4 linked regions of the Schizosaccharomyces pombe genome follow. The protein of the gene in region 1 interacts with the protein of each later gene in a pairwise test. Each region holds a gene or a part of one and is shown in the gene's direction. Other genes may lie near its edges. The genes, in order: spg4, spo7, SPOM_SPBC609.01 and rmn1.

The links.
Region 2: the proteins of spg4 (region 1) and spo7 interact in a two-hybrid assay, tested with the Schizosaccharomyces pombe proteins (one large-scale study listed by BioGRID).
Region 3: the proteins of spg4 (region 1) and SPOM_SPBC609.01 interact in a two-hybrid assay, tested with the Schizosaccharomyces pombe proteins (one large-scale study listed by BioGRID).
Region 4: the proteins of spg4 (region 1) and rmn1 interact in a two-hybrid assay, tested with the Schizosaccharomyces pombe proteins (one large-scale study listed by BioGRID).

Annotation. Positions count from the first base shown.
Region 1 is NC_003424.3:3,479,993-3,486,567, forward strand, and holds spg4 (AAA domain-containing protein), read left to right. Parts: upstream 1-1,564; 5' UTR 1,565-1,916; coding exon 1,917-4,142; 3' UTR 4,143-4,613; downstream 4,614-6,575. Other genes in the region: tps1 (alpha,alpha-trehalose-phosphate synthase (UDP-forming)), read left to right, coding at 1-863; hrb1 (RNA-binding and mRNA export factor), read left to right, coding at 4,686-4,706, 4,744-5,073, 5,249-5,350, 5,390-5,491, 5,590-5,982, 6,064-6,510.
Region 2 is NC_003424.3:3,245,444-3,254,435, forward strand, and holds spo7 (ArfGEF Spo7), read left to right. Parts: upstream 1-2,315; 5' UTR 2,316-3,154; coding exon 3,155-7,111; 3' UTR 7,112-7,438; downstream 7,439-8,992. Other genes in the region: histone H3.3 H4 heterotetramer chaperone Rtt106, read right to left, coding at 1,045-1,469, 1,514-2,137, 2,183-2,264; pcd1 (coenzyme A diphosphatase), read left to right, coding at 8,070-8,927. UniProt on the Schizosaccharomyces pombe protein: Appears to have a role in sporulation.
Region 3 is NC_003423.3:3,153,037-3,162,486, forward strand, and holds SPOM_SPBC609.01 (Dis3-like exonuclease family protein), read left to right. Parts: upstream 1-3,092; 5' UTR 3,093-4,560; coding exon 4,561-4,681; exon of another isoform or gene 4,682-4,823; coding exon 4,824-8,176; 3' UTR 8,177-8,580; downstream 8,581-9,450. Other genes in the region: rpl3602 (60S ribosomal protein L36), read left to right, coding at 466-687, 763-840; phosphatidylinositol-3,4,5-trisphosphate3-phosphatase Ptn1, read left to right, coding at 8,787-9,450.
Region 4 is NC_003423.3:487,579-493,588, forward strand, and holds rmn1 (MTREC (exosome adaptor) complex RNA-binding subunit Rmn1), read left to right. Parts: upstream 1-2,277; 5' UTR 2,278-2,303; coding exon 2,304-2,333; exon of another isoform or gene 2,334-2,371; coding exon 2,372-2,409; exon of another isoform or gene 2,410-2,499; coding exon 2,500-4,042; intron 4,043-4,096; coding exon 4,097-4,255; 3' UTR 4,256-4,583; downstream 4,584-6,010. Other genes in the region: protein phosphatase regulator Nem2, read left to right, coding at 652-1,194; idh2 (isocitrate dehydrogenase (NAD+) subunit 2), read right to left, coding at 4,584-4,690, 4,741-5,505, 5,660-5,708, 5,756-5,902, 6,006-6,010.

The DNA of each region.
Region 1 (6,575 bases):
CTGCATGCTCTCGTATCCTTAATCTTAGCACACTACCTAACGGTGTGGAATACAATGGTCAAATGGTCAGCGTCGGCACCTTCCCCATCGGTATTGATCCCGAAAAGTTCTCTGATGCTCTGAAGTCTGACGTGGTAAAGGATCGCATTGCAAGCATCGAACGTAGACTACAAGGCGTTAAGGTGATTGTGGGTGTCGATCGTTTGGACTACATTAAGGGTGTTCCCCAAAAATTCCATGCCTTTGAAGTGTTCTTAGAACAATACCCTGAATGGGTTGGAAAGGTCGTGTTGGTTCAAGTTGCCGTTCCTTCTCGTCAAGATGTCGAAGAGTATCAGAATCTTAGAGCCGTTGTCAATGAGCTTGTTGGCCGTATTAACGGTCGTTTTGGTACTGTTGAATATACACCTATTCATTTCTTACATAAAAGTGTTCGCTTTGAAGAGCTGGTTGCTCTGTATAACGTTTCAGACGTTTGTTTAATTACCTCAACTCGTGATGGTATGAATCTTGTTTCATACGAGTACATTTGCACTCAACAAGAGAGACATGGTGCCCTAATTCTTAGTGAATTTGCCGGTGCTGCCCAGTCACTCAATGGTAGTATTGTAATTAATCCATGGAACACGGAGGAATTAGCAAACTCCATTCATGATGCCCTCACTATGCCGGAGAAACAACGTGAGGCTAATGAGAATAAATTATTCCGATATGTTAATAAGTATACCAGTCAATTCTGGGGTCAAAGCTTTGTCGGTGAGTTGCAACGCATTCAACACTACAGCCACCCTCACCCCAGAAGAACGAATCCGATTTTACGAACCAAGTCTGCTCAAGTGCTGTCGATGAATTCTAGCTCGTAAGAGTGCATTAGCAACACTATTGGTTTGTTTTCCCATTAATCAAGTTGTTGCACTTTTACACTTTTACTTCTATAATTTCATTCTCAAAGCAATTAAATCATTTGGTCATATATATTCGATGAGTTAGCAGTTTACGATACAAAGGATGTTGTTTATACTGGCACTTTTTTTATTGAGATGAATTCACAATACATGATATAATGCAACGTTCTTTAATGATTTTTTTATATGCAGAAATTCCAATCAGCTTATGGTGGTTTGAGTATTTGCTGATGATGGAAATTTGTTAGACAAGTATTCGACAATTTTTTTATGAAGTGTTGTTCTTTGTAATTTCCTTTGGTTTTATATTGAACATGATGGCAAAAAGAATAAATGTTTTGTTATTTAACCTTAAAAATCCTGTAACATTCAATTAATATTATTTTTATACATTTTTTTTGGGATACACGTGGAAGATTGTGACTAATATATCTTATAAGTAAGGATGAGAATATGCTGGACTGGTGAACGGAGTTGGACCAAGCAAATATTAAGATTAATAGTGAAATGGTTTTAAAGGTATTATTTATTGTAAGTAAACTAATTTTCAATTCTCATATAGCAAAAAGAGTTTTTTTGTGTAAATGATGAAGATGCGTCATTTACCCATCATTATTCTTCGCTACACCAAAACCAACCGTAAAGATTTAAAACTCAACAAGCACAGTGCGTATATCATAGAACTTCTATTCACGCATATAATTAGTGCTGTTGCTAGTTTTGTATTTATTTTTGTAGACTTTATCAAGTTTTCCGACAAAATCGTGGTTTTAGTGAGAAATTTTATCTTTAACTTTGTATCACTATATCTACGATTTGTATTTGCATGCCGCATTCTGCTTGTACGAAAACAATATTTAATAAGGTAATAGGATATAAAAGGAGAAGTGTAGTTTGTGCACTTCAGCCAATATAGAAAGAGAATAACGTTTCCAATCGAGCCGATTTAACCTCTTTCCATTGAAAGGTAATTGTTTTTAATCAGTTGTAGACGTTAAAGAATGCACAAAAATGAGCCTTGAAGACTGCTATAACGTCACACAGTCATATGCCGCCGTTGCAATTCATAAAGAGCAGACTGCTGACTATGTGGAGGCTATCGCTTTATTTCAAAAGGCCAAGCGGAACATTCTCATGAATCCAGAGTTTAAGTATGCGAGGGAACGCTTACACGTGATGGATTATGAAGATAGACATTATGTGGAAACATTACTCTGCATGTTGGAGCAGTTGACCATTCGAATTGAGTTCCTTACCAAAGAGATTGCGCAACAAGAAGCTGCTTATAAGGATATTCAAAATACACAAAAGTCACTTGTAACACAATCTTCTACTGGTAGCGCTAATGTTGCTTATATAAGTGGAAATGGTCCTGGCGATCGCTCATTTATCGATGATGGTAACTATAGTGCGTCTTCTTTTGAGCGTCAAAATAGAACAGCTCCTTTACAATCTAAAGTGACAACGGCATCCTTAAAACCTAATATTCCGCGAACATCTATGTCCTCTTCACCTACAGCTTCGCGGACTTCGTTGCGTAAAGGCGCTGGTGAACTAGAAACACATAGCGCTGTTAAATCTGCTAAAAAGGCCAGTGTCAAGAGTAAATCAGTGCTTCCTCCAAGTAAATCGCTTGCTAGGACTGGACTTCCAGCTGAAGTCTCTACCCAGAACAATGCCAATCGAGCAGCTCTATTGGCTTGGGGATCTTTGAATTCATCTAAGCCTAAGCATGCTCTCCCGCCATCATACATATCATCGGAAGCAGCGCAGGCATCTCGATCATCGTTTCAGGTTGAGCGTCATCGTCCAACTCCCGATAACTCCGCCGTTATTGAAGCTGCCCGCCGAACTTACTCTTCTATTTCCTCCTCTTCCTCACCCTTCAAAAAGAAAACGCAATCCCATCTCCCTAATCGTACCACTGAAGTACCTTCTATATCAAAACAGTTATCAAAGTCATCTACCTCAATCGCAACCGTCGCGCCATCTCTCGCTTCTGTTTCGTCAGTTACAAAATCGCCATCTCCCACTCCTCAGTCAGCTCCACGAGCTCAATCTGCTTCCACTGAAACTGCGCAAGATCTGGATTTCCTTACACCGCCACGTTTATCTGTGAACAACCCTTTTCTGAGTGATCTCTATCCAGCTTCCGAACAGGGGCTTTCTTCCTGTGAAGAGAAAGATTCGCCGGTTGATGGCGATGAATTTTTCAACCACACAAACGAAGAAGAGATTATTGAAAAGCAGTTTCAATCCACATCTATCTCTGCAATGACTTCTGAAAAGCAAGAACAAATTCTGCGTGAATGTCCAGACATCGACGAAGAGCTTGGTAAGAGTATACTTCGAGAAATCGTGGTTTCGGGTGATGAAGTTCATTGGGATGATATTTCTGGGTTAGAATTTGCTAAGCACTCTTTAAAAGAGGCAGTGGTGTATCCGTTCTTGCGTCCAGATTTGTTCCAAGGCTTGCGGGAACCAGCTAGGGGGATGCTTCTTTTTGGGCCTCCAGGAACTGGTAAGACAATGCTTGCGCGAGCTGTTGCTACTGAATCCCGTTCTGTCTTTTTTTCTATTTCAGCTTCTAGTTTAACATCCAAGTTTTTGGGTGAATCCGAAAAACTTGTTCGTGCTCTCTTCACTTTAGCAAAAAAGCTGTCTCCAAGCATCATTTTTGTTGACGAAATTGATTCACTGCTTTCTGCTAGAAGCAGTGATGGAAATGAGCATGAAACATCGAGAAGAATAAAAACAGAATTCTTAATTCAGTGGTCTTCGCTTGCAAGAGCAGCTGCATCTCGACAAACCGCCGATCACCCAAGAGTTCTAGTGCTTGCCGCTACCAATTTGCCTTGGTGTATCGACGATGCTGCTCGTAGACGATTTGTCCGTCGTACCTACATTCCCCTCCCTGATGAGACCACTCGTCGCTTACATTTAAATAACCTTTTAAAATATCAGAAGCATTCTCTTTCCTTAGAGGATATTGAGGCTATTGTGAAAGCAACCGAATATTACTCTGGCTCTGATTTGACAGCATTGGCAAAAGACGCAGCTATGGGGCCTTTGCGAAGTTTAGGTGAGTCTTTGCTATTCACGAAAATGGAGTCGATTAGGCCGATTAATTTAGATGACTTTAAAACTAGTATCAAGGTAATCCGGCCTAGTGTGAACTTGCAAGGGCTGGAACGATATTCAGAATGGGACAAAGAGTTCGGATCCCAAGGGCATTGAGTCTGTCTTCTTATTTAAAATTCCTAGCCTGATACCGATTTTTTTGGTAATCACGTTGAAAATTTATTTATTGTCTTTTAATACATGGCTTGTGCAAACTTATGATTATAACTAATAAGGACAACTTTTGCCTCAAGGAATTATTCATGATGATAATAATGGTGCTGTACCAAAAGCCTTTTTGTTTACTCCTAATATATTCGTTTGTCTCTTTTTTGTTGATACAATTTATGCACAGTCTTTGAATTTTTCAAACACTTAATATTAACTGAGGTTATCTCTAACCCTAGTTATTGTTTGAGTTTCCATTTTTATTACGACTCATTTACAAACAACTAAAACTCCTTACTATGATTAATTAGTCAGTACATGTCAATATTTATAATTTAAATGTTTACAGTTTTTTTATTCTATTGTTCTTTTAGCGAATCTAAGAGTTTACAGTATATCACTTACGAAATTATATTGCAGTTACACTATAGAAGTCAAGTTGTTGGGATGCTTTAATTATGTGAAGATGCACACTCAGCTTATGCTCTTGCGATGCCTAAACCTATAGAATGGGTATGATAACTATTGATTGATTTAGCTGATCAAATAGAATGAATTTGATTCAGGAATGGGTAGTAAGTTGGATGTGTCAAGTTCCTTGAATTCATCGTCTTCCAATATGGATCGTGACAGATCGGAGTCTCCGAAGCGACATGTCAACGGAAGCAATTCATTGAAACGTGGCTTGCATTTTGATGGAGAGCACACTGAAAGAGACCCTCACTTGGGAAATGGCCAAAAGTACACTCAACAAGAGCGTCGCGTGTATGTTGGTAATTTGTCATATCAAGTTCGTTGGTTTGAGTTGAAAGAGTTTATGGGACAAGTTGGCAATGTTCTTAATTGTGAGATTTTGAATCTTCCGAATGGATTATCGAAGGTAAGTTTGCTTCATAGAGGGTGGGTTTCATGCGACTAGTAAATCATTGTCTATTTAAATTGTAACGTTGAATCGATCCAATTGAACGTTACTTTTAAACGATTACTTATGGCCTATAGCTTATCCTAAAATTTGTCGTATACTCAGATTGTGAATAGTCTAGCTAATATATCAGGGATGCGCGATAATTGAGTACTCTACTGCTGAAGAAGCGCGCACGGCAATTAAAACTCTGAGCAACCAAAAATTTATGGGCCGTCTTGTTTATATCCGTGAAGTAAGATTTTTTTTATGTCGCTTATTAACCTTCGTAAAGGATCGAGAACAAAATGCAAGATTTGGCTCCTCTTCAGTATCGCCTAGCGCGTCGTCGAATGGCAAAGATTCTGAGCCAGACAGGCAATTGTTTGTTGGTAACGTAAGTTCAATTTCTAATCCTCTATATTCTTTTCCTCGAACTTTGGTATTTTAATGAATTGTGGAATTGCAAATAAGAAATGGTACTAACGAGTATAGTTACCGTATAACGTTCGCTGGCAAGATTTAAAGGATTTGTTTAGACAAGCTGGTTCTGTTATCCGAGCTGATATCCAAATGAACCAAGAAGGCCGATCCCGTGGCATTGGGATTGTTGTCATGAGTTCGATGAAAGAAGCCATGCATGCCATTCAAATGTTGCATAACACTGATTTCATGGGCCGCACTTTAGAAGTTCGCCTAGATCGGTTTGCACATCATAAAAGTAAGCCGTATTCCACTCATGGAAATGGCTATACGTTTCCAGCGGAAATGCAAATGACTACATCATCCACCTATCTACCCATGTTAGGTGCTAATACTCAAGTCGAGGATTTAGTTTATCATGCGTATCCCCATGGACCCTGCTCGGATTGCATTTACGTTGGAAATGTATGTATATAAGGACGCTTTTGTGGGATTAGTTTTCCGCATCATTTTAAGTTTTTTTTGGAGATTACTGACTGAATATAGTTACCTTGGGCCACCTCAGATCGCAATTTATTGGACCTATTCACAGATATTGGCTCAGTCATTCGTGCCCGAATCGCCTATGAGCCCACTGGCCGATCTAAAGGTTTCGGTGTCGTTCAATTTGAGAATGAAAATGATGCAGCATCCTCAATTGAAAAATTAAATGGTTATCGTTATGGCGGGAGACCCTTGCAATTATCATACGCTCACTATGCGACTCCACTACCTGCTGTCCCTACTGTGCTCTCGGGTCTTCCTTCAGTCGCTTATACACCACCTGTTATGCATATCCCTACAACGAATTCACCACTAACGCCCCAATCTTTTACAAATTCTTTCTTAGGCTATCTACCGATTTCAATGCCCGTTGCAAACATGCCCGCTATTGCTCCTATTTCTGTAGCTTTACCCGAAAATAATATTGAACATTCTTTGGAGCCTTCTTAAAAATTCGCCAATACATCTGAACTTCTTTTCTCTTTACAATTAAGCACATTTCCGTAGTGTGAATG
Region 2 (8,992 bases), 230 kb from region 1:
ATTTACTAGGATATTTTTCTAGAAAAATTATCAGTAAGATTATAAATAGAGTTACAACTTAACTGAGAAACGAGGTACAGTAATAAGCACTATTTAGTGACAGGTAACAGTTTGACCCATATATATAATACCTACATTGGTCAGCGCTTATTAACCTACTTATTATAATATAATAGGTCACAAGAATTATCACCGGGTTTTACGTATCGTTAAAAAAGACACTGAACTGCGTAAGTGTCACCTATTTTTTTTACCGTACGTTATGAACATAGCTTTTTAACTAAAATGTAAATAAATAATGATTAGATAAATTGCAACAGCATTTTAGAAGAGCTAATCATTAATATCAATCAAAAACATTTCTATTGTCTTAAATTAATTTTCTTTCTTTTTAAGAAGAAGATCCTTCAATAACAGTCGATGAGTTGATATATTGTTAAATTATTTAATTTCTTACATTCAGAAAAAGATTTTAGTAATTTATTGACAAAGAAAAAAACTAATGTAAAAAATTAAACAATTAGTTACTTATAGTCGTCTTTTTTTTTGAAAAAAATAATTAAAAAATCTCGTGAAAGAGTTTTTAAAGATTTATGCTAATTGTGAATTAAATTATGGGCAGTTCAGGTAATTCTTGCTTAAACTCAGCTACCCTTCTGTTAAAATGAACATCAGGAACTTTAAATAACCGCTATTTACATTATATACCTTTTTTAAGAGCGGCAGATCGAATAAGGTAATTAGGAATTTTCATAAATTAGTATTATAGAAAATATTTACATGTTGGTCGGGTAATTTTTGAGAAAACTCAAACAAGTGGGAGCGTAAATCTATTGATTAGCACACAAAGTCCAGATCCACACTTTTTAAACTATCAACAAAAAATGTATCCTGCGACAACTTTGTGTATAACTTGAGTCTAAAACAAATTTGGATAGCTCACAGATAACCTTTTGCTAGAAGACTTTAAATTTATTTAAATCCTTAAATTAAAACAAACTGGTAATAAATAAAACAGAAAAAAATTTATGTACATTCAACTTTCTATTCTTCGTCCTCTGAACCGATAGATTCGCTACCGTCCTCGCTGTCGCTGTTTTCGACATCCTCGTCGTTATCAGAGAATAAAGGTTCTTTAACATCAATATCATCCATATCATCAACATTTTCAAGAGATGATGCCTCATTCAAATATGAAACAGATGGATTTTTAGGGACTGGTGCAGCTTTTTCTTCAGCAAGACTGGAGTCCATTAGTCCATGCTTTGTCGCGTAATCATTTACTGCTCTAAAGACACTTTGATCAACCATATCGAATGAATATATTGTACCACCAGCTTCAAAATTAACTGTAAATGTTCGTTGCAAAACATTACTATAGGAAAAATGCTGGATGCTAGCTAGTTCAATGAAAAGTATAGGTTTACGGAAGCCCCATAGTATGCCAGTACGCAGAAAAAATAAATGCCCTATTTGATTAGCAATTTTGACACAGAATTCATCCTTTGCATACCATCTTTAGCTTTATAGTTTGCTTCAACCCCATATGTCGTGCCATTGTCCCCCGTTTGCGGGTTTGGACAAACAAATTCTTCGACAGAAGGAGACAAAGTACTAGTGCCAATAAACTCAAAGTAATCGCGAAAAATATCCCATGAGTTCGTGCAGTGGGTGAAGGATCGTAAACCTTCAACGAGGTTGAGCTTTTTCAAAGGATACGGTGCCGTAAAAAAGACAGGTTCTTTTACATTATCACTTGAAACAATATTTTCTGCCGACGATTCACTTTTAAGGATGATCACAAAGTTGTTTTGAACATTAGCTTTCCTTGGACATGGGACATGGATTGCACAACGAATTTCATTCCAGGGAAGCCAAAATTCAATTAAATTGGGTTCGCCTGGTAATGTTACTGCTATTCCATTTTCATAAATGTAGACGTCTAGCTTTTTTCGCATAGGTGCCTGAAACGATAGATTAAGTACTCCATAGACCAATTGACCTAACTCATGTTGAACACGATCCTTTCGTTTTAAACTTCCAGCCTCCTTCACTTGGCCTGATTCGTTTTCCTTTTGCAATGTATTGATGTACTTGCAAATTCGATGCACTAGAGGCTGTATACTTTTTGTTTTCCCTAATTTCATTAGACTAAGGAAAAAAGCATGTACTCAAACCTTACCATATTGTTTGATTATATCTTTTGCTAACTCAGAATCTTTGGCAAATGCCTTTTCTATTTCATCGTTCACGTTGGACTCCATTAGAGATGGCTGCCGGCTAGAATTTATTGAGTCTTAAACAAGGGCTTCGACAGCACACCACACCTCAGCTAACAGTAACAAATGTAATAGCAACTATTTCCATTATCATGCAAATGATTTCGATCCAATAAAAATTTTATCCCAAGTGGTTACGTTCAAACTTCGGTTCGCTGTTGACTTTATGTTAGCAACAAATTTTTATTTTATGGATCAATATGAATATGCTTAATTTATAATTGCTCAATTTTACTCAACAAAGGTAGTCATTTTACATAAATGAGATAAAAACTCATTCTATTATCGTATCAGTTACTTTCGTATGAAAAGTCCAAAAAAGTTGGGAACATTTTGTGAAACGATATCGATTTTCCCTTTGATTCTTTTTGCGATCTATAGATAAATTTCAGCTGTAGAACTGATTAGCTTTCTTCAGCATTGGGAAGGTCAGATTGTTGCTCCTATAATCGGATATGGTTTCCCTTAAAGTTGTTATTGTTTCGATTTTGTCAAAGAAATTATTAAATGATCCTAAAATTCGTTTTATTGGTTTATGTTGTTCCCGATGTAATCAACGTGTGTTGACATTTACAAACGTAAACAAATAGTTTGTTCGCTAGGTCTAATGCAATGAGGTGTTTTAAGACATAAGCTATTTGTTTTGCCTATTTTTCCTTTACCCTCAACCTCCCTCAAAACTGACGGTTTGTATAAATATTTAAGGAAACAATTTTGATAATTGTCCTTACAAAACTTACATAATTATCCTAATTGCTTTCGCGATCAACCGATTGAAAGAATTCCTATATTCATATTGTATTTTTTAAGCGTTCTTCCGACATAACTATTAATTTCTTTTAATCAATTGTATAATTATCCACGAAAAAGGTAGAATGGATTTTAGAATAACAGAAGGATCTTCCCCAACAAGCTTAAGTGTTTCGGAAAAAATTGCAAAGTTGGAATCGTGCAATGATAGTCGCATCACTTGTCGTCCTGTGAGAGAATCAAAGCCTACCTATACTTCCGGCCAAAAGCATTCAGCGTTGCTTTCGAAGTTGAAGCGGTCTAAAGTTACAACCGATTTTTGCAAACTTGAGGAATCAAAGGGAATAATTTGTCAAGAAAATTTGCATACGGAAGGCGCTAAAAGCAAAACGGAAAATATTTCTGGAGAAGACAAATCTTCTCAGAGAAGGACACGCTTGAAGCAGATTCAGGAATTTATAAGTCATCGTCGCTCTTTTCTCAATTCCAATGCCAATTCTGTGGAGTCTGAGAAAATCTTGGCTGAAAACAATCATATGTTTAACGTTAAAAGCAAGTTAAGCAACAAAGAATCGTTTATTAAAACCCGGCGTCCTCGAACAAATGGTGAACTTTCTGATTTAAGCCTTCAGCCTAAACGAATATTTAGTGAACCCGTAAACTCTCATCCTTCTCAATCCATGTTCGGCAACGGCGTACGAGCTTCCTCTGGTTCTTACTCATTAAAACGTGATTTGAAAGATTATGAAGAAGAACTTCCATCTTCTAAAAAGCGCCAAAGAACGCCGCCTCCGATAGTCGTTACCAATTTTCCTCAGGAAATATTTCCTTCAAAAAAAATTAGTTTATCTGCTAAGAGGAGGATTCAGGGGAAGTATTCCGGGGAAAATGTTAGAGCAAGGATCGAGCTAGCTAGGGAGAGAAATAGAAAAAGGGACTATGTTTCAAATTTATCTAAAGGGCATACTACAAATGCTTTAGAAGAGAATCCCTTTAATTTAGGTCCTAATTATCGGGCTTCCACCAGAAAATGTAACAGAATAAAGGAAGCTATAAACCTATTTGCTGCTAAAAATGGTTCAATGGAAGTACCACCAAAAGTGTCAGTCGGTGATTCAGTTCTGACAACTTCTCAGAAGTTTTTGCAAGTGATAAGGGAAAAGACTGCGCTACTAATGAACCAAGATTCTAATTCAGTACAACCACAAGCATTGGCTGCAGCAGAGTCTCCTACAACAAAGGCTCCTACAACAAAGGCACCGACATCTGAGGCTCCTCCCAAGGGTCATGTTAAACAACTAGCCAAACAACTAGGAAATATTTACATGCCACAATCGATAAACAATGTTGAACCGACATCCCATTCCAGCATATCTAAGGTAGTTAATCCATCAGAGAAAGTTATTTCAAAAATTGAGAGAGCGTGTCTAGCTGGAAATGGTAATGTACACCCGAGCATAAAAATGGAAAAAAATTTAGAGTTGAACCCTCATCCAAGAACTTTGAACGCTACTGAACACAAAATCAATAGTCGTATACAGGTATCGAAACTTAACACTAAAAATGAGCTTGCTAATGCTGATCCCAAAATGTATTTACTTGAAAATCTTTCTGACCGCCTATATTTTTGCAAATTAGCAAAACTTTTGCTCAGGAAATACCCTTTAGACATCGCGGAACACCAATTTGCGTTAGTTTATTCAAGATTCCAAAGAATACCACTAAAGCAGATTTCTTGCTTAAAACAATCGTTGGTTGCGTATTATTCAGTGCTTTCGGAGGTTGGTATTACAAACGAAATAATGTTGCGTGAAAATCGGTTTTCTTCACCCAAAACCCCCGAAGGTCTAGTTTCAATTTCAAAATTACTATTGGATGACCGAGAGCATCTTAGTCATGATGAACGTAGCTATATTCAACAATTGCAAAGTCAGATTAAGTCTCAGTCAGTTCACCATGAAAACGCAGCTGAAGAAATTCGCAAGATGCGCAATTTACGCAATTCACGCATAAATAGTCAGCAGGTTGGCGAAAAAGTTTTTGTGAATCCAGATGTCAAAACTATGGATATTCAGGAAACGTTCCTACAAGATTATGAAGATGAAACGTTTGCTAACGAAGGTCTGAGCGCTTCAAAGTTTAAAGAAGAGTTTTTGCTTATAAGTGATAGCAAGAGTGATCTCAATTCCGAAGAAATAGCAACTCCCAATTCTTTGGAATTTAAAAACAATCCAAGAATTAAAGTTCCACGATCACTTTTAACTATTTTGAATTTACACGACCGTTCTCAACTGAAATTGTTCGAGGTATGTCACAATTCAGAGTTTAAGGACCCCATTAATTTATCCAATTGCTTACGGAATTTGCTAGAGAAGCAGCTATTGTCGTACAATTTTACAGATTGGTTTGCTAGTTTGGGATCTGAATATGAAAATGTGTATGTAAAATTCATATCACACTATGACTTTTCAAGTTTAAATGTTTACGCTTCCTTTCAAAAATTATGCTGTGATCTTTACTATGGCTCGGATGATTACATACACTCTCCTATTTTGCAAGTCTTCGCATCTTGTTGGCTTAAGCAAAATAGTAATTATGGGTTTTTAAATGAAGACATTATTGTTAAAATAGTATTGATTTTAATTGATTTACATAAATCAACCTATTCTAAAAAGCTCAATTCTTATGTCGTTCCGATGGAAACTTTTGTGAAATATGCTCTCGAGAAACTTCGTCCTCTCATATCTCCAGATTCAGTTTGTATTTTGTCGAAGGAGGACAAAAAGCATTGGCTCAAATATAAGAAGAACCGATCAACGTTTGCCAAATTGCTTTTCTCAACGTGGAGCAATTTACCAAGCGATATCGGTTTCATACTTGAATGCATGCTAAAAGAATATTATGATACGTTTCTGAAGTCTCCATTTGCAGTACCAAATGCCGTGCAAGCACAGTTGCACAACCAAGTAAGAGGTGATTTGACTCCCAAAAGGAATCGATCATCTCTGATATCTGAATTAATGAAAAGTTCAAAATTACTAAAGCAGGAGAGTTCTGGAAACAAAAACAGCACGAGTCTTGAAAGTGATGCTTTTAAGGAATCTTCGTTTGTTTTGAATGAAGAGAATGGAGGAATTTACGCAGGAAAGGAGATTGATCTTCCTGAACCATCAGTTATAGATGGTAGACCACATTTTTCGGTGTTTAATTACACTCATCATATGCAAGAAGAAAAGACTCATAACAGGTTACCATGGCACCGACGAGGCATGATTTCATATAAGAAAATGGTTTTAAGCAAAAACAATAGATGGGTAGCAGGTTATTGGAAGAAAAAGTACTGTATTGTCGATAGTGGAAAACTAATCTTTTATAAGTCAGATCATTTAGATCCAAATGCTTGCTCAAATGTTAGCCCCATCCATAGAGAATTTGGCTTGCAATCTTGCTTGGCATCTCCCAATTTACCTCCATCAATTAATTCTAATCGCAATAATGTCTTTTATCTAAATATTCCAGGAAATGAGTGCTATCTTTTTGAAGCGCCCAGCGTATTAGCGATGAACGAATGGATTCATTCTTTAAATTTTAATGCAGCCATGATTACTTGCCCTCCTCTACCAGAAAATATTACAAACACTGAATATGGTTGGGGGTACATTTTAACAAGAGCTGAGAAAAAGGCTTATTATACTGCTGCTGATGGAACCAAGACCTTTGTCGGTGACCTGGCTCAATTAACACGGTGGAGTCCAATGGACATTCAAGGATTACAAGACATTCCTCGTCCACTGCGTGATAAGGTTCATATTTTACGAGATTGTGTTCCTTCTTTACTGGAAACCTGCCTTCTTTTCCAGTCTTTGCCTGAAAAAATGGAGAAATGTTTTGCCGCCGGATCTAAAAATTACCTCAAAGCAATGGATAATTGGAATAGAAAGATGAAGTTTCTATATGAACGATCAATGATGTACAAAGAGTACCAGCGAGTTTTGGAATGCGAGTACGAATATCGGAAATCCCATGATTTCTACCCAACTTTATCTCCTGTAAGATATCCTTATGATTTTAAAGGATTATAAAATTAAATTTCATTCAAAGTAGTTAAACGAATAAATAAACTTGAGTGATGAAAAGACATTAGGCCTCCGATTGAGAGAATGCTACTTAGATATCTTTTTTTTAGCTTCTGAAGAAGAGGGTTAATAGTTGTCGAGAGTTCCAAATAAAGTATTTTGATTTTATTTAGATTTGACAAATCTTTTGTCATTTTATTATTTTTTTATGCTTAAACTTCTGATAACATCCAGTTATAGAATATTTCATTATTGCAATATATGCTTCGATGGGATTATTTCAAATGCCTTAATACGCGCTCGTTGAAACTGAATAACTACGTTGGTTACCGCTCATTTTAGCTTTAAACTTACAATAGTAACTTTACTTAGATACTTAATCAAACAGCTTGCGAGAACTTGGATACATGCTATAGCTACCAGAATGCTAAAGTCCAAGTTTCACCTATTTTGAAATAAAACAATATGAGTAGAGGTGTATGCAATTAATAAGGAATAAAGCAATTATAGAAACAGAAAGAAATTGCAGTACTTTTATATTTCACCTTCGTTGATTTATAATACTGTTTTAAGCATTAATTTCTGATTAATTTTTTCTCGCTTAGATAAAACTCTACATAATCCTTCTTTGCAAAGTCACGTCGCAATGGAGGGCGCTAACGGTTAACATAACCTGAGCACATATCGCGTCTTTTGTGCAGGCGTTTAACAATTGCCCGATATTTAAAGAATCACTATTGATAAAACGTACTCATAATTATTCTTCTACCTTTAAATTATTATTGACTTTGTATGATTCAACGAATTATAGTAGAGTTACTTTCCACCTACGTCGCATCAAGGGTATAAAACGACTTCATCTTAATAGATATACGTACTAATCAATTTTAGATTGCTAGAAGTTCTACATTCCAACGCCTGGTGAAAAGCGGAATTCGCAGAGTTGGACAAGAAATCCCAAATTATGAAGCTAAAGCTCCGCTGGAAAGGTCATCAACGATTTTTAACAAGGCAAAACTCTTTGGTAGGCTTTATTTGGAGTCCTCTAAAGAATACTTTTTCAAAAAGAAATAGTATTTTAAACAATCAAGTTTGTTTTGAAGCTATTAAATACATCCAAAGGCATTATTTCAGCAGTCAATCGCACCATGTAACCTATCTTCACCAGTCGCCGCTTGAGAAATTGGTGAGTAATGGCGTGGTAAACGAGAACGGAGATTTGACCATGGATTCTCTTTCTCATCAAATATACCTATTACACAAAAATCGCCCCACCTTACCATTAAAACCAACTAACCAGCCTACGAGATTTGCATCTGTTTTGATGCCTCTAGTAAACACTTCTCAAGGAGCTTCTTTACTACTCACGCAACGTTCTCCAAACTTGCGTTCTCATGCTGGACAAATGTGCTTTCCTGGTGGCCGTGTGGAACCTTCAGACGGTTCTCATTATTATGCGGCATTAAGAGAAACTTACGAGGAAATTGGATTCCTCCCTAATTTTTTTACTTACTTGACTACTTTCCCTCCATTATTCACCAGAGATGAAAAGACTGAGATTCGGGCTTACCTTGCGTTTTCGGTGCAAACCTCCCTTCCTTCACTTGGGACAGGTGAAGTGAAAGATTTATTTTACGTTCCTCTCACCTCTTTTTTAAATCCCAAGCACCAAAAGATATCTCGATTTCGTAATACGGATTTGCTTTATGTCGAATTTAACATTGATAAGATTCCAAGAATTTGGGGAATAACAGCGGTTATATTAAATATGTATCTTAATTCTATTTGCCCGGATGCTCTTATCTCAATCCCAAAGTTTTGATTTTACGCTTTAATACCATTACTACATAGACTTAATTAATATTTATTTTTTCTTCTGTTATTAAT
Region 3 (9,450 bases), on another chromosome or scaffold:
ACTTGAGCATTCAGTTATTTTAAGAAGGAATGTAAAATCTACATATAGCTGCTCATGAAAAAGATTTGTTTTTATAAATTTAGTTATTTAAAATTAAATGGAACCATTGGATTCCCCAAGTTTTTGGCCTTCAAAATTCATGTTGAAAATATATACAGAAAACAACAAAATACGGTTTAAACGTGAACTCAAACAATTTAAATGTTACTTACTGGATTTCAAAACATAATTTCTACATAAATTTTATTTTTTTCATTAGGGCTAAATGATTACAAAAAGACTTCATATGAAAACTGTAGCCCTGGGATGAAAACTATATTCAATATTCAAAACAAACATTGAGTTTTTGCCTGCTTAGGCAAAGGCACAAATATTTCAAAAGATAGGGTAGGGTTGGTTGAAAACAGTCACGCCATGCTACCAAAAGTTTTTTCCAGACGGTAGGTACAGTGTAGACTTTACACGATGGCACCTGGACTGGTTGTTGGTTTAAACAAGGGAAAGACTTTGACTAAGCGTCAACTTCCTGAGCGTCCTTCTCGCCGCAAGGGACATTTGTCCAAGCGTACTGCTTTCGTCCGATCTATTGTGCGTGAAGTTGCTGGATTTGCTCCTTATGAACGCCGTGTCATGGAATTGATCCGTAACTCCCAAGACAAGCGTGCTCGCAAGCTTGCCAAGAAGAGAGTAAGTAACCTTTTGAGTGCATTTAATTTAATTTTTTTTTTTTTAATTTTGTGAATGAATACTAACAGGTTTTAGCTCGGTACTTTGAAGCGTGCCAAGGGTAAAATCGAAGAGCTCACTAGTGTCATCCAGAGCTCCAGATTGGCCCATTAAACTTGTCTTCCATATAATAAAATTACTTTAGCAAATATCAACTTGTTATGATGCGTAGTTGTGTACGAGAGGTAAATGGTAACTCTCAATAGTTATCAAAAAGAATAATTATCGTGCTTTTATTGGCTTAAGGCATATTCTTACAAAGGATTTGAGAATTGGTACAATCACACCAGTTTTTTTTTTTTTTTTGCTTTTCATATTAACTAAATGGGAGTGTAGAAGAACCTACAATACTAGAAGGTTTACCGATTTTGGAGAATACATAAAATGCATGAATGACTGTTGCAAACTTTTGTTTGTGTAAAGACTGAGTGAATGTCTTTGCAATTAGATTTGGCGATAGGAGGTTACTATTTACCATGTAGTAAATTATACTTGTAAACTTAGATTACGTGCATTTAAGAATAATTTAAAAAAATAAACGAAATACAAGGAACTCCCGCAAATTCCTGTAATGCTATGATTCCTTTTTTAAAACGTAATTTAACAAAATATGCGGTTTTAAACATACTGTTTACTTTTGACTCAATAGGTGACTTATGAGTTGCGACGGGAAGAAGTGCCAAAACCCCTAAGATCAACAGAGGAATTACCGATGGGCAAAGTGAATTTTAAGAGAAAGTTAAAAGTGCAAATGATTAATGCTTTCCTATTCCGAAGAAAGTATTTCCTTATAGTTCCTTTTTCCACTTGAATTATTAAGACCTCAAAGTTGAGATTTATTTACCTTTGTAAAAAGCTCTTTCAACAATGTCTTATTGTTTATTAATTCATTACTCATTCAAATCAGAACGCCTTACAAAGTCCTACATATCTTTACCGATATGTTACAAATTCGTTATTAAAGTTTACAGGAACGGAACGATTTCTTTACAAAACTGATTCAGTGACTCTGTCTCTCCCGTTATACTAGCCTTACGATTCAAGTCCATTTCATTATCCAATGTTGCCAGCGACCATGGATCCATTAATGGCTGATTTTAAGATGAGTTCATGGACAGCTTCGGGTTGGCCACAATTAGGCAACCAGTAAATCACCTTACTTGTCTTCCTCCATGTAACTCGTAGATCTTACACATTGGAGTAGCACGCTACTTGAATTGTTATGAATGATCAAGTTGCTAGAAAAAACAGGAAATCGTTTTTGTAGACAAGTCGATGACAATGGAAAAGAAAACAGAGTTGGGAAAGAAATAAAGGAAGTAAACAAAAAAGCGATATACTGGTTTTCGCATTTCCAGCATATATTGGAGCCGATCACATTATCCCATACATAGCTAAATACAGATAATCAAGATATGGAGTGGATATAAACTGATTGCTTTTACTTTCAGCTGATGTTTTGAATTCTTTTCATGTTACTTTTGATTACTACTTGAATTCAAGTGGAAGTGGTTTTCAAAAAAAGTTGCATCTGCGCTATACACTTACTTTAGTACATACACTAACCACTTGCTGCTCTTTAGGAAAAGACCGTGGCCACCACACATTCACTAAGTGGGGGATAAAAGCTGCAACCGTCTATAGTTAAAGGAAGGGACAACGACCGCCACATAACTACCTGATGGGGGCAACTAACAAAGACGGGTTTTCTTCCTTCATTGCCATCCCATCTCGCTTGTTATCTAACCTTGTTTCATAATTTCTTGCAGCCAATCATTGTCATGGCGAGAACCCTTAAGACGCAACACCAACCAACCAGCTTTGACGTCACTTGATATCGCTAACCCGTTTGCGACATTTAACGAGAGCACTGATGGCAACCTTCGTTAGAAGGGAAACTACAGTCAAATGGTAATGCGAAGAAAGGGATTTCCAGTATTTTTCTTTCATGGAAAAAAGAGTGTTGATATATTTGGATGATCGGTTAATTTCATACTACGCTTTTTCCTTCTTTGCGCCGTTTCTGCCACTTCTACTCAAGCTCTTCACCTGTTTTCCCTCTTGTTAGCTCAATGCCCTTCGACATTTTTTCAAATGTCTCTTACTGCCTTGCTGCGTTGCTCTGTTCAGTGTAGTCGTTATCGCTCGAGTTCAGTACGCTCAAAACTGAACCCATTGTGTTTTCATAATTTGCCTCGCTTTTTCGCTCTATCAAATTACCTATAATGCGAAAATTACTGTCTACGTAATATCTACGGTTTCGCTATTGGATTTCGGATGGCGGCGGCCAAAGTAGTGAGCGTTGCCTTATTTCATTATGGGATTCATCATCCTTAAGTATTAGTGTGTGTGATCCATTAGCGTCCATCCCACTACTGTTAAGCAAACATCGTTACATCGTGTAACTAATCTTGCTTTCGGAACTTGATTCAACTCACATTCTCATCTTTCATACATACGTATCTTTTCCACCTTGCGCATTTTCGGTTAGGCTGGCAAATTCCCCCAATCATAAAAAAATCGGCGACGCTCTTAGTTTGCTCGATTCTTGGAAAATCCTCAACAGGCGCCTGAATTTTTAAGTCGCTATACGTTAAACTTGAGCCCCTTTTTTATTTCCTTGCTACCGTCATTCTCGTCGTCTCGGAAAAACAGCTTAAACCTTGTTGCTGGTAAAGCAGGTTTGTAAAGATTTTTCCTCTTGTTTTCATTTCTTCTTTTGTCTTATCGCCCTTGGTTCGTTGCCTCTACAACACCTACCTAACACTTGCGACCACCTCATTTTACTCTTTTTTAAGCACCTGTCTCATCAATTGACAGTGCCAATTGGTTGAAAATCGCTACAACCGTCATTCGATTCCGTTCCATTCTTGTACATAAAGATAATCCAAAACTTGGTGGATGTTGGCTTTAGCGCTATTGTAAAAAAAAAATTGCTTTAAAAGTCAATCAAGTTTTCCTTCGTTGTTTGTTTTAGTAAATTTTTGTCTTCTTCTTCTTCTTCTTTTTGGCCTGGTTGGGTTTGGCTTGGTAAATTCATTATTTCTTCAAGTTTCATTGACACCGTTTCATTTTGTCATATACGATAATTAACGAAAGCTCTCCATACACTCCATTCAACGAGCATTGTATTTTACTCCATCATCTGTTACCGCATTTGCTTGCTTCTCTTCACTGCATATCAATTGGATCATTCCTGCTTACGATCCACCATATCCATTGCTTTTTCTCCTTTTTTTGTTATTTCTTACATTTTTGTGTTTTCATACTCTACATTACTAACTTCCTCTGTCATCGTCATAATTACCACCTGTCATCGTCTTTGCTCTTTACATACTCTAAACCACCTTTCTCATCTGGATACGTTGAAACACCGTCATCTTGTATGAGGAAAAAGCAGTACTATATTGGTTTCGTTTGTTGCTACAATCTTTGGGTTTTCGCTCTGCCAATCTCTCCTACAGGAATTGTCCTTGTACTCCCCAGTGAATAGGCGCACATTCAAAAGCATCAGCGTATCGAGATACTTTTTCACAATCTCATACTCTCTCTCCTTCTTTCTTCTCCATTTTTTTGTTTCTTTGCATTACTGCGTCCCCACAATAATTGACGAGGACTACTGTAACCTTCGTTCAAACCGTTTCCTCTGATCGTTTTTGTTTTGGTTTTCCTTGAAATACTTGCAAATCGAATAGATTTACTTTTTTGTCTGGTCTCTGTTTCACTCTCTACATATTAAATTTCCGTAAACATCTTTCTTCGTTTAAGACAGTGTCTTTCAAAAAAAAATCAACAATAACGATACGGTCAACTCATTTCAACTAATAAAAAATAATGGATCCTCATTGGAAAAGACACGATTCTTCAAACATTCCTACACAGCCTTCACCTTCCGCCTCTCCCAAATCAAATAAACCTTCCTCTGCTCAGAGGTTTGGTAATCTTCCTTGGGTTGGTAAGTTTTGTCAAGTTCGATGAAGTATCCTGCAACTATGAAATAAGTTTTTCTTTGAATTTTGAATTTTTTTTTTTCATCTTGCTAGATTCTTCAGCTTTTTTCTTCTACCAGAGTATTTATCACTAACTCAGTTATTTAGCTCCAGACGTAATCCAATCTCAAATCGAGTATTTACAGGCACTGCAAATGCAGCAATCTCTCTCTGAATCTGAGAATTACTTACAGCCAAACTTTTTCCCTTTCCAATCCGGTCCGTTCTCAAAATCTCGAAGGGAGAACACATTGTTGCCCAGATTAAACCCGCTTGCACCTATTGGAGCAAGACAGCCTAATCCTTCAATTCCACAGCAATTTTCCAAGCCTATCAATGAATCTGGTACTGGTACAATGGGTCCTGCAGTAGGAGAGCTCACCAGCCCTGTGATGAAGAATCGAGCGGAATCGATATTCAGTCCGGTAACTGAGTCTTTTGAAGCATTTACTCAAGGGATGCAGACAACTCCACAACGAGCTGGAGCAGGTGTTTCGACTGCTACATCGCATACAAGACGTCGTTCTTCTGCTGGTACAGATCCTTTTTCTCCGGTTTCGCCTTCAAATCCAAATTTCCTGACGCCTTTGAAACCTATAGATGGAAATCAGGAATGGCAGCAATCACCTTTAGAGTCTCCCTTGTCTATGCATTCTTTGCAGGAAAGCTTACACAGCGTTGAACCTGAATCTCCGATTTTTCAACAGGCTCCGCAAATCCCTTTGTCAAATGCTTCTCAACAATCCTACATCAATCATTCATCTGATGGAGCTTCTCTTCCTCAAAGCTCCTTTTTAAATTTTAACAGTAGCGGAAAACGGGTCTCCGTTTCTGCTGCTGCCCAACAGCACAAAAATCTTTTTCTTCCTTATCTTCCCCAAGCGTCCCTTCCGAAGTTCATTGGTACTGGTAAGTTGCTTGTTGGGACCCTTCACATAAATCGTAAAAATCGTTCTGATGCATACGTTATTACGGACGTGCTTGACGAGCCTATTTTTATTTGCGGATCCAAGGACAGAAATAGGACTTTGGAAGGGGATTTGGTAGCCGTCGAACTTTTGGATGTTAATGAAATTATGCAAACGAAGAGAGAGAAAGAGGAGAAGAAGATTCGCCGTAACCTATCCCTCTCTGGTTCTTCTAAGTATTCAGTCAACAGTAAAGCAAAAATGATGTCTATCAGTACACCCATGGCTTTAGGAATGAATAGGGGTGTTCTTTCGTTTGAAAGGTCTATTGAGAAACGGAAGAACGATTACGAGGTAACCGGCCAGAGTCTTTCGTTTGTCGACGATGTTTCACTTACTCCCGATTCTGCTCCAAAATACGCAGGTCATGTCGTTGCTGTACTCAACAGACCTAGCGGTGAAACTTGCTCAGGCACTTTAGCGTTGTATAGACCCAATAGCCTTGCTTTGAAGAATCAGTCCTCTCATCGAAGAAATTCATCCACATCCAGTGGTGAAACGGGAAAAGGCCCTAAAATTGTTTGGTTCAAACCAAGTGACAAGCGTATTCCTCTTATTGCTATATCTAGTGACCAAGTACCCCCTACCTTTTTTACAAATAACGACGATTTTAAGGATAAGGTATTTTTGGCTGGCATCAAGAGATGGCCTACTACGTCCTTGCATCCTTTTGGAACGCTATATGAAAGTATTGGAACAATTGGGGACCCCAAGGTGGAGTACAAAGCAATTCTTCACGATTTCAGTTGCCACACATATGACTTCCCTGAATCCCTTTCTCATTGTGTTAAAAGATTACCTACGCCTATCCCTGCAGAAGAGCTACAAAAGCGATACAATTTACGAGATAAGTTAACCTTCATGATTGGAACGCGTGATTATGCTCTCCATATTGATACAGGCTCCATCGACGGAGTCATCACACTTGGAATACACGTTGCAGACGTCGCGTATTACGTTAAGCAAGATATGCCTCTTGATGATGAAGCTGCCAATAGAGTATCAGAAGTACAATTGTTGCAAGGTTCCGTACCCTTTTTACCGAAAAAGGTCTCAGAAGAGATTTCCCTTATAGAGGGACATGATTGTTTAACAATTAGTATAGTTGTACAGCTTGATTTGAAAAGCGGCGCTGTTTTACAGTGTTCCCTTGGGCCCTCTGTAATCCACCCGTCAAGTTTTATTAGTTTAGAAAGTGCACAAGCAAACTTGCAAACCAACGAAGCGCTTCAGCTAGTTGATGCATCGGCCCATGTCCTTACCAAACTAAGATTGAAAACAGATAAGAAACTTGACTTACAATCCTTATACTGCTTTGAATTTTGCGATGGGCAGATTCCTAATATACAGAATATTAACATGAGTATTTTTGAGGCATTCCCTATTGCATGTTCTTTACAACAAATTGAACATTGGGTAAACGAGAAAGTTGCATCTCATTTAATGTCTGTTTTTCCCAGTAAAGTGATTTTGCGAAAAAATCAAAGACCTTCTGACTTTGCATCTCTTGTTGCAGTTTCTGAGTTAACCGGAGTGAATTTATCTGCTTCATCTACTCCTTCGGAAATCATGACCGAAATTGCAACTACCAAGGATAAGAGAACCAAAATGTTACTACAATTGACTCTAAGAAGAATGTGTAATGAATCTGAATACACTATCGGTACTTCAAATGCTAAGGATGTTTCGCATTTTGTGTTCTCTTGTCCTTACTACACCCATTTTTGTCACCCTACTCGTAGATATATCGATATATGTGTACAGAGACAATTACGCGAAGCCTTTGATGGCAGACCAGACTTTTCCAAAGACTACAGAAGTTTACTTTCTATAACTCAGTCTTGTAACACACTGAGCAACTTCTACCGTAATGCCCAGGAAAAAAGTCTACATGCATATTTATGTCAACTTCTCCATTCTATTAATTTACGATCTGGGCTCGTTAAGCATAAGGCTTTTGTTTTGGCTGTTGACCAGGAGTATATTGACATAGTCATATACGAATTTGGCTTGGAAAGAAGGATCTCCTTGGATCTGCTACCGCTTAGTAACTGCGACTTTAATGAGCAAAAACACGAACTCTATTTATCATGGAGGACAAATGCTTCTTTCTTTTATGCTTCATCTTCTTTGGAAATTGATACACCTTGTTTCAATGACTTTAAGAAAAAATTTTTGGATTCCAACGGGATGTGCAAACAAATATGCGATATGATGGATGCACAGGTTCGGGATTTAGCTAACGCTGCTGAGTCCCAGGAGTCTTTCTATTCAAAGGCTCGAGGCAATGACAGTACTAGTAAAACAGCTAAAAGTTCCTCTGGCAATCAGGATATTTCCGGAGATGGAAAACTTCATAGTTTACGTATGAAAGAGCCTGAGGTTGTTCAAACCATCCGTCCAGGCCAAGAGGTTAGTGTACTTATATTTGCTGATACTTCCGCTACTTACTCACTCTCGTTAATTACTTTACAAAGTCCTCTATCCAGTTAATCTTCAATAACTGGTGATCTTCGCTAATGTGTATGCCTCACGATTTATTTTTAATGTATGATTAATTGCATATGTCTAACGTTATATACTTCTACCACTTATTTCTTTTTACCTAAACGTTTTGGATTTATTTTAGAGGATTCGAATAATCGCATGGGTTTGTTTGTTTTTTGGTGGACTTAAATGTTTTTAAGGATTTTTATCAAAATATTTTAATGCTTATTTACGGTTCATGTCTTACGATTGTATTTCTTATTGGCTTTTTTTATTCATTTTTCTCATTTTTTTTTTTTTATTTCTTTATTATTTTTTTTTACTAGTAATACTTTTGCATCGTTTAAAGGGAAAAGTTATGCCCTTATGTTTTTTTCAATAAAATGGATTATCAAATCATTGCTATCAAAATATATAAATAATTAAAAGTAAATTAGTTATTTATTCACGTCACTATGGTTGATACCTACCCGCTTAAAGTTCATTACTAAAATCTTTATTGTATTTCTCTTATTTTCTTCTGAACAGTGCAGCTTACCTCATATTTCAACAGTCAACGGCATCTGCAGTATTATCCTAGTATATTACAAATAACTAATTAAACATGTAATTTTCCATGAATATACTTCGATCAGTAGTTTCGAGGGGTCGAAAAGGCCTCAAACAAGAAAAAGTGAATCGTAGCTTTGCTTACTTAGATATGGTTTATATTACTTCCAAGGTAATTGCTATGTCTACACCGGCTGCTGGAATACATAAGTTATATCGAAACGACGAATTGGATGTATTTAAATATCTTACAACGCAATTGAAAGACAACTGGATATTGTTGAATTTATGTGCCGAAGAAACAGTTTACCATTTGGAATTATTTAAACCAAATGTCATAAATTATGGATTTCAAGATCATAATCCACCTCCGCTTCTCTTTTTATGGGCTATTGTTATGAATATGGATGCACTCTTTCAAACGCAACCTTTGTTGACATTGGTAGTTCATTGTAAGGCCGGAAAAGGACGTACAGGAACTGTAATATGTAGCTACTTGGTAGCTTTCGGAGGCTTGACAGCCAAGCAAAGTCTTGAACTATATACTGAAAAAAGAATGGTTCGAGGGCACGGTCTTACCATTTCATCGCAAATACGTTACGTCTATTATATCGAAATTTTAAAACAGTTCCCGAATTATTTGAAAGCTGTGGAATTTAATACTGGTACCACTTTTTTTAAAAGTTTTAAATGTTTGAATATTAAAAAAAATTCATCTTTGATTCTATCAT
Region 4 (6,010 bases), on another chromosome or scaffold:
CTTTATTTATATATGATCTTTTCGCCAACGTGTTTAAACTAGGGGAGTTTAATTGCTAAATCGGCTAAAAAACTACAATGTAAAAACTTGGCCTATATATTTTTATCCAAACATAAGATTTTTTAAATACAGAATTGATATCTGAGCAGTCATTTAGTAAAAAGATGTCAGTAAAAGCTTTCTAATCCATTGGTCGGAACTTTTTAAGACTTTGATGTTTACCAAATAATGAACACAGTTAACACTCCCTCACTATATTTTGCATCGTTATACAGTATACCAACGTTTACTATCGTTTACTATAGCACATATCGAAGTAGACAGCTGCACACTATTGATATTATAGCTATCGGCGCGTAGCTTTGACATTGACTTTTAGAATCTGCCATCCGATTGATACTTGAATCAGCAAATTAGAAGGGCTGTTCTTTTATTGTTTTAGAATCATCGGCTTGTACTATTACTAATTGAATTAGTTCTTATGTTACGCACATATCTCATTCTGTGGTCTTCATAACGACTTCTTGTAATTGGTGTTGGATATTGTCCAATTATTGTTATCTCCAAAAAGCTTTCTTATATTCTGTTTTTCAAGTTCTTTATATCTTTTTATTCTTTTTCCTACGTATTGTTAAGAGTGAATAAAATGCCATGTCCTCTTATGTGCCCAACACCCTGTCCGTATATCACAACTTGTTAATTTTAGAGGCATCGTTTCGGAAAACATACCTACAGCTTCAAGTTCGTCGTCAAAAGTATATGGCTTTCTATGTCTCACTATTGGTGTGGAACTTTTACTTTGGCTATCGCGTCTTTTATCGCATCTCAAAATACTCGTTGATTGATTTGACTTACAAACTTTGTCTTTTATGCGGAATTGTTACACTTTTGCTCTTTTATTTTTCTGGATTGTATCGGACTACAATAGTATATCCATCACGTTATGTTCAACAAGTCAACAAAGCGATGAGGTTTTTTAACATTCGCCTTGTTATAACTCCTGTCCCGTGGTTCCAGGTGAGAAAGCCTTTGGATTGTGGTGTCCATCTTATATTATCAAGCAAACGATTTGACATATTGGTGATCGAAGGTTGGGAAGCTTTTCGTTCTTCATATTTTGCTTCAATACATAGAAAAAACAATAGCATACAGAGTAACGAGTCCTCTGAATCTCCTTCTTCTAAACAGAACTAGATTTACTTATACCCTTATCCTATTTATAAAGGATGCGATCGTTTATTTCCTTTTCAACGTTGTTAATGCTTTTCATGTTTATACTGTTCTAGTATTTGTCATTTTTCATAACGTAAATTTTGATTAAAATTTTCAGCTATTTTTTTTTTTGCTATCCGTTGTTGCTGGCGCCTTTCGCTATATTATTGATCAGTTATTGTCGTTATACTTTTATTACATACTTACCCGATTTGAATTTATTAGGATACTTTTAAGGACATTTCCTTTTATGTTGGGATATGAGATTGCTTTACAGACCCACTGAAATAGGATTTATCGTTGGATAATTAAAAAAAGGATGTTGATGATTCATTACACATCTTGATCATTTACTTGCCTCATCTTAATTGGAAGGGTTTAAATAAAGGCTTAATTGAAAGTTGCTGTCACTTAACTTCCTTATCTTGTTCTGTCAACTTAAACTATTATCTTTCATTCCCGACTTATAATCTTTCTTTTCTTTCTACATCACCTTTTTTTTTAAAAAATGGGTAAAAAGCGTTTTCGCATGTACATAAGCAAAACTTCTTCTCTTCTTATGTAGAGACTTCCTTTTTTTTTAATTTTCAACTTACTCATGCGGACTATACCGGACGTTCATTAGCTCTCTTGACGAGTTAGGTTTTCAAATAATTTAATATAAATGTAATCACTCCACCGTTAAAATTAACTATTTATAAGTGGTGCTAAAATATAAAAAAGTGCATATAGCTAACACGTTTACTCACTGTTGTGCTGACAATTTAATCAATGAAATAATTGGAGACAAGTGAACTCTTTCGAAACTCTCATAATCGTCAGAGTTTGACTTAAAATACATTGTATATTAGTAGTCTAAATACGAGTAATATTATGCAAACCTTCCTATTCCTTATCTAATGTCGACTACTCAGTTAAATTTTATCCCAGCCAATTGCCCTAGCTAAGACATTTGTTATTATTTTGGTATTATGTTTATTCTTTTTGAACTTTCTGGCTAATTGTTAAAGATTTTACCTTATGTGATCTATATTTTCTTACTGGCTCAACCATGCGTAACGCTCCAACAACCAGCACTTTGCTCCATCACAATGCCGTTGTTCTTAGAAGAACATGCTGAGGTAATTTTATTTTTAAGATGCCGAATTAACGCTTTTAGTATTTGAAAAGATATTTAGAACAGGCGTTGGAGCCAATGTATGTAATTTTTTTTGAGTTGCCAATTTGCGTGATTTTTTTTTTTACACGCTAAAAAATTGTTTATCAATATGCTAACGAAATGACTAGTTCTGATGCTGATGCAAGTGTTTTATCAGATTATGCTATGGCATTGTTAAGGCACGATTCTTCTGAAGAAGAAGTTCGCCAGTTATGCTACTCACAACTAGAAGATTTTTTGCGACAGGAGACAATTCCTTTTGTTGATAAAATTTTTGATGTTTTACGTGAAAAATCTTACTTGGAGGGTGCTTCAAATATGCCGTCAACCGGTATGGTGACTGAAGAAGTTTCAAGGTATTCGCCAACTTCATCAATGATCCCTGCCACCAACAGCATGGAAACCAATTTTAATAATTCTTTACCTGCTGTAGGAAAAACAAACACTTTTCCCTCTCAGGTGCCTAATATGTTTGGACCTCCGTTGTACCATCCAGCAGCCACAGCACCTTCTGAATTCATGCCCAGTATTCCTGGGTTTGGAAACTTACCAAATCCTGCAATGCCTCCCATACCATTCTTACCATTTAATCCTGCGGCGCAGCCTCCTTTCCCTCCCCCATTTAAGATGCGAGGTAAAAGAGGATTTGGCATGCGCCATGAGCATAATAGTGAACTTCGTAGGCATTCTCCTGGTAATCGAAGATTTAATCCATACAAAGCGTATCCCCAACCCCATCTGGGACATCGCTTCTCTCGTAACGCTGGCAATGATCCAACAAGTACTGCTTTAGAAGTGCGAAACATTCCGGAAGAGCATTTTAATGAGGAGAACATTAGGTCCTTTTTTTCAAAGTTCGGTGTATTGGAGAAAGTCGAATTAAATCCGACACATCATTCTTGTGTGTTAGAATTCACTTCCCATGAGGCTGCCAACAATGCTTGGTCCTCGCCTGAGCCCATATTTAACAATCGCTTTATTAAAATATTTTGGTATAATCCGTCAAAGGGATTTCACAATCGACCAAAGAAGTTTGCATCCCATAAATCTCCCACTACTTCCGATTCGTCGAATGTAGAGAGTTCTGAAGATGTCGATCCTGCTTCTTTGTTACAAAACGAAGAGTTTCATAAACTGATTGAAGAAAGGCAAAGGCAGCACGAAGAACGTTTAAAACGCATAAATGCTAATAAAAAGGCACTAGAAGAACTTAACCAAAAAAAGCGCGAGCTTGCACAGCAACAATTAAAAGAACAAGAGTTACTGATGCAAAAAATTAAGGAAACTGACCGTTCAGGAAACAAAAGACTCATGTTGTTAGAAACTCAGCATTCTCTTTTGAAGGCTGAGGCTGATTGCTTAGGGTTACCTGTGAGCAACGTTTCTGAAAGCCCAGCGGCATCTAATGGTTCTCATCATCCTTACGCTTCAGGACTTCCCCAGCGAGGTACCAACACATTTTTCCGTGGCAGAGGTCGCGGACGAGGTGATATGTTTGCGTCAATGTCCATCGATAATCGTCCAACTAAGCTTCGTGTAATAAATGTTTCTCCTGAAAAAAATGAAGCTTTGTTGCAATACTTATTCACTGTTGGAGGATATGAGGAAATTACTGAACCTTCAACTACTGAACGTCTTATCAGTTTTCAGAATAGAAATTCCGCTGAAAAGGTATGTAGCTGATTCTTTCTCTGACAGAAAAAATTTCAAGTTAACAAATTTTAGTTTTTTGGTGGAGTTCGGAACGTTGAAAAACTTCAAGAATTGGAGTTGGCGTGGGTGCCAAAAACAGCTGTTACAACTAATACTACATCCATGGAGACTGGCGAATCTAATACAAGCGACAACATGAACATAGAGGTAGAAGAAGGAAGATGGCGCTAGTTTATTTACTTTTACAAAAGTTTTTCAGAGAATGAATTAATGGGCTGCATTGTATGCGGCTGTCATAAAATATAAGCAACTAATTGATTAATCTTATAGAGTGCAATAAGCATTTCAAAAATGGAGATTTCATATTGAAATATTTGTAACTAACATTTCGATCAATTCGGTTTTTTGATACAAAAGAGTTAATGCTTCCGAATTACAACTCAAATCGTTACACAATTCATTAAAAGTGGTAACAAAAATCGGCTAGGAGAGAAAACTCATGATAAGGAAAGAAACATAAATTCAGTGTTCATAGCAAGAAGTAAACAAAATGGGCATGTTACTTCAGTTTAGAAATAATGGCATCGGTATATTGAACATTGTTTGACTTGCCGCCCAAATCCTTGGTGCGAGCATCGGGATTGTTTGCAAGGGTATCAAAGATAGCTAATGGTAATTAGTAAACAGACAAAATCTTAATTTAGTAAAACACATACCTGATTCGATGCGTTTGGCATAATCATTTAAATTCATGTGCTTCAACATCATTACAGAAGATAACAGTAAAGCAGTAGGGTTGGCTAAACCTTTTCCAGCAATATCAGGGGCAGTACCATGAACAGCTTCAAAGATGGAAGCTTGGTTGCCAATGTTTCCGGAAGGAGTCAAACCAAGACCGCCAATTAAACCAGCGCACATATCAGAAACAATATCACCGTATAAATTGGGCATAACCATAACTGTGTTGTTATAAGGGACAGGATCGGTGACAATCTTCAAGCAGGCGTTATCCAAGATTTCCTCCCTAAGCTCGATATCAGGATATTCAGGTGCAAGCTCCTTGGCGCATTCCAAAAATAAACCGTCAGCCATGCGCATAATGGTAGCCTTGTGGACTACGGTGATGTTGTTCTTGCCAGTTTGGCGAGCATATTGGAATGCATAACGAATAACACGCTCAGATGCTGCGCGAGTAATTAATTTAATCGATTGAACAACGCCTGGTATAACTTCATGCTCGATGCCTGAGTATTCACCCTCAGTGTTCTCACGAATCAAAACGGTATTAACGTTATCATAAGGTGTTTTGTATCCCGTAATAGATACACAGGGACGAACATTGGCAAACAAGCCGAAAGTACGACGCAAAGTAAGGTTCATAGAAACATGACCCTTCCCAATTGGGGTTGCCAATGGACCTTTCAAAGCCACTTTATTTTTCCTAACAGATTCCTTAGCATCATCAGGAATAGTAGTAGTACCTAAACGAATTAGTAAACGTGATTTTCGTGCGCGATAATCTCGAGGAGACATGGAAGGACTTGACAAGCAGGAACAAGCATTGCTGACAAAAACGTATAAAAGAAAGGCCAAACTGCATACAAATCCAACCATCTTCTCTTATACTTGACATACCATTTTTCAAAATAGGATATACTTTTACACGTTCCCATTCGATAGGGACCTACAATACAAGTCGTTAATGACTAAATGACGGATGACTCGACAAACCTTTGCAGCCTTAAATATACGTTCTACAGACTGAGCAATTTCTGGACCAATGCCATCGCCAGCAATCATCGTTACTGTGTAGTTCCCGTTGGCATTCTTTACTCCTTCATATGTCCCAGCGGCAGCCTTCGTTGAAGAAAATCTCTGCTAAAAATAACTCTGTTAATATAATCGATCAAATAATCATGAAAAGACGAGTAAGGCTGCTTAAACCAGCGATTTATCGCTTAGGAGCCAATTCACAACTTACAAAAG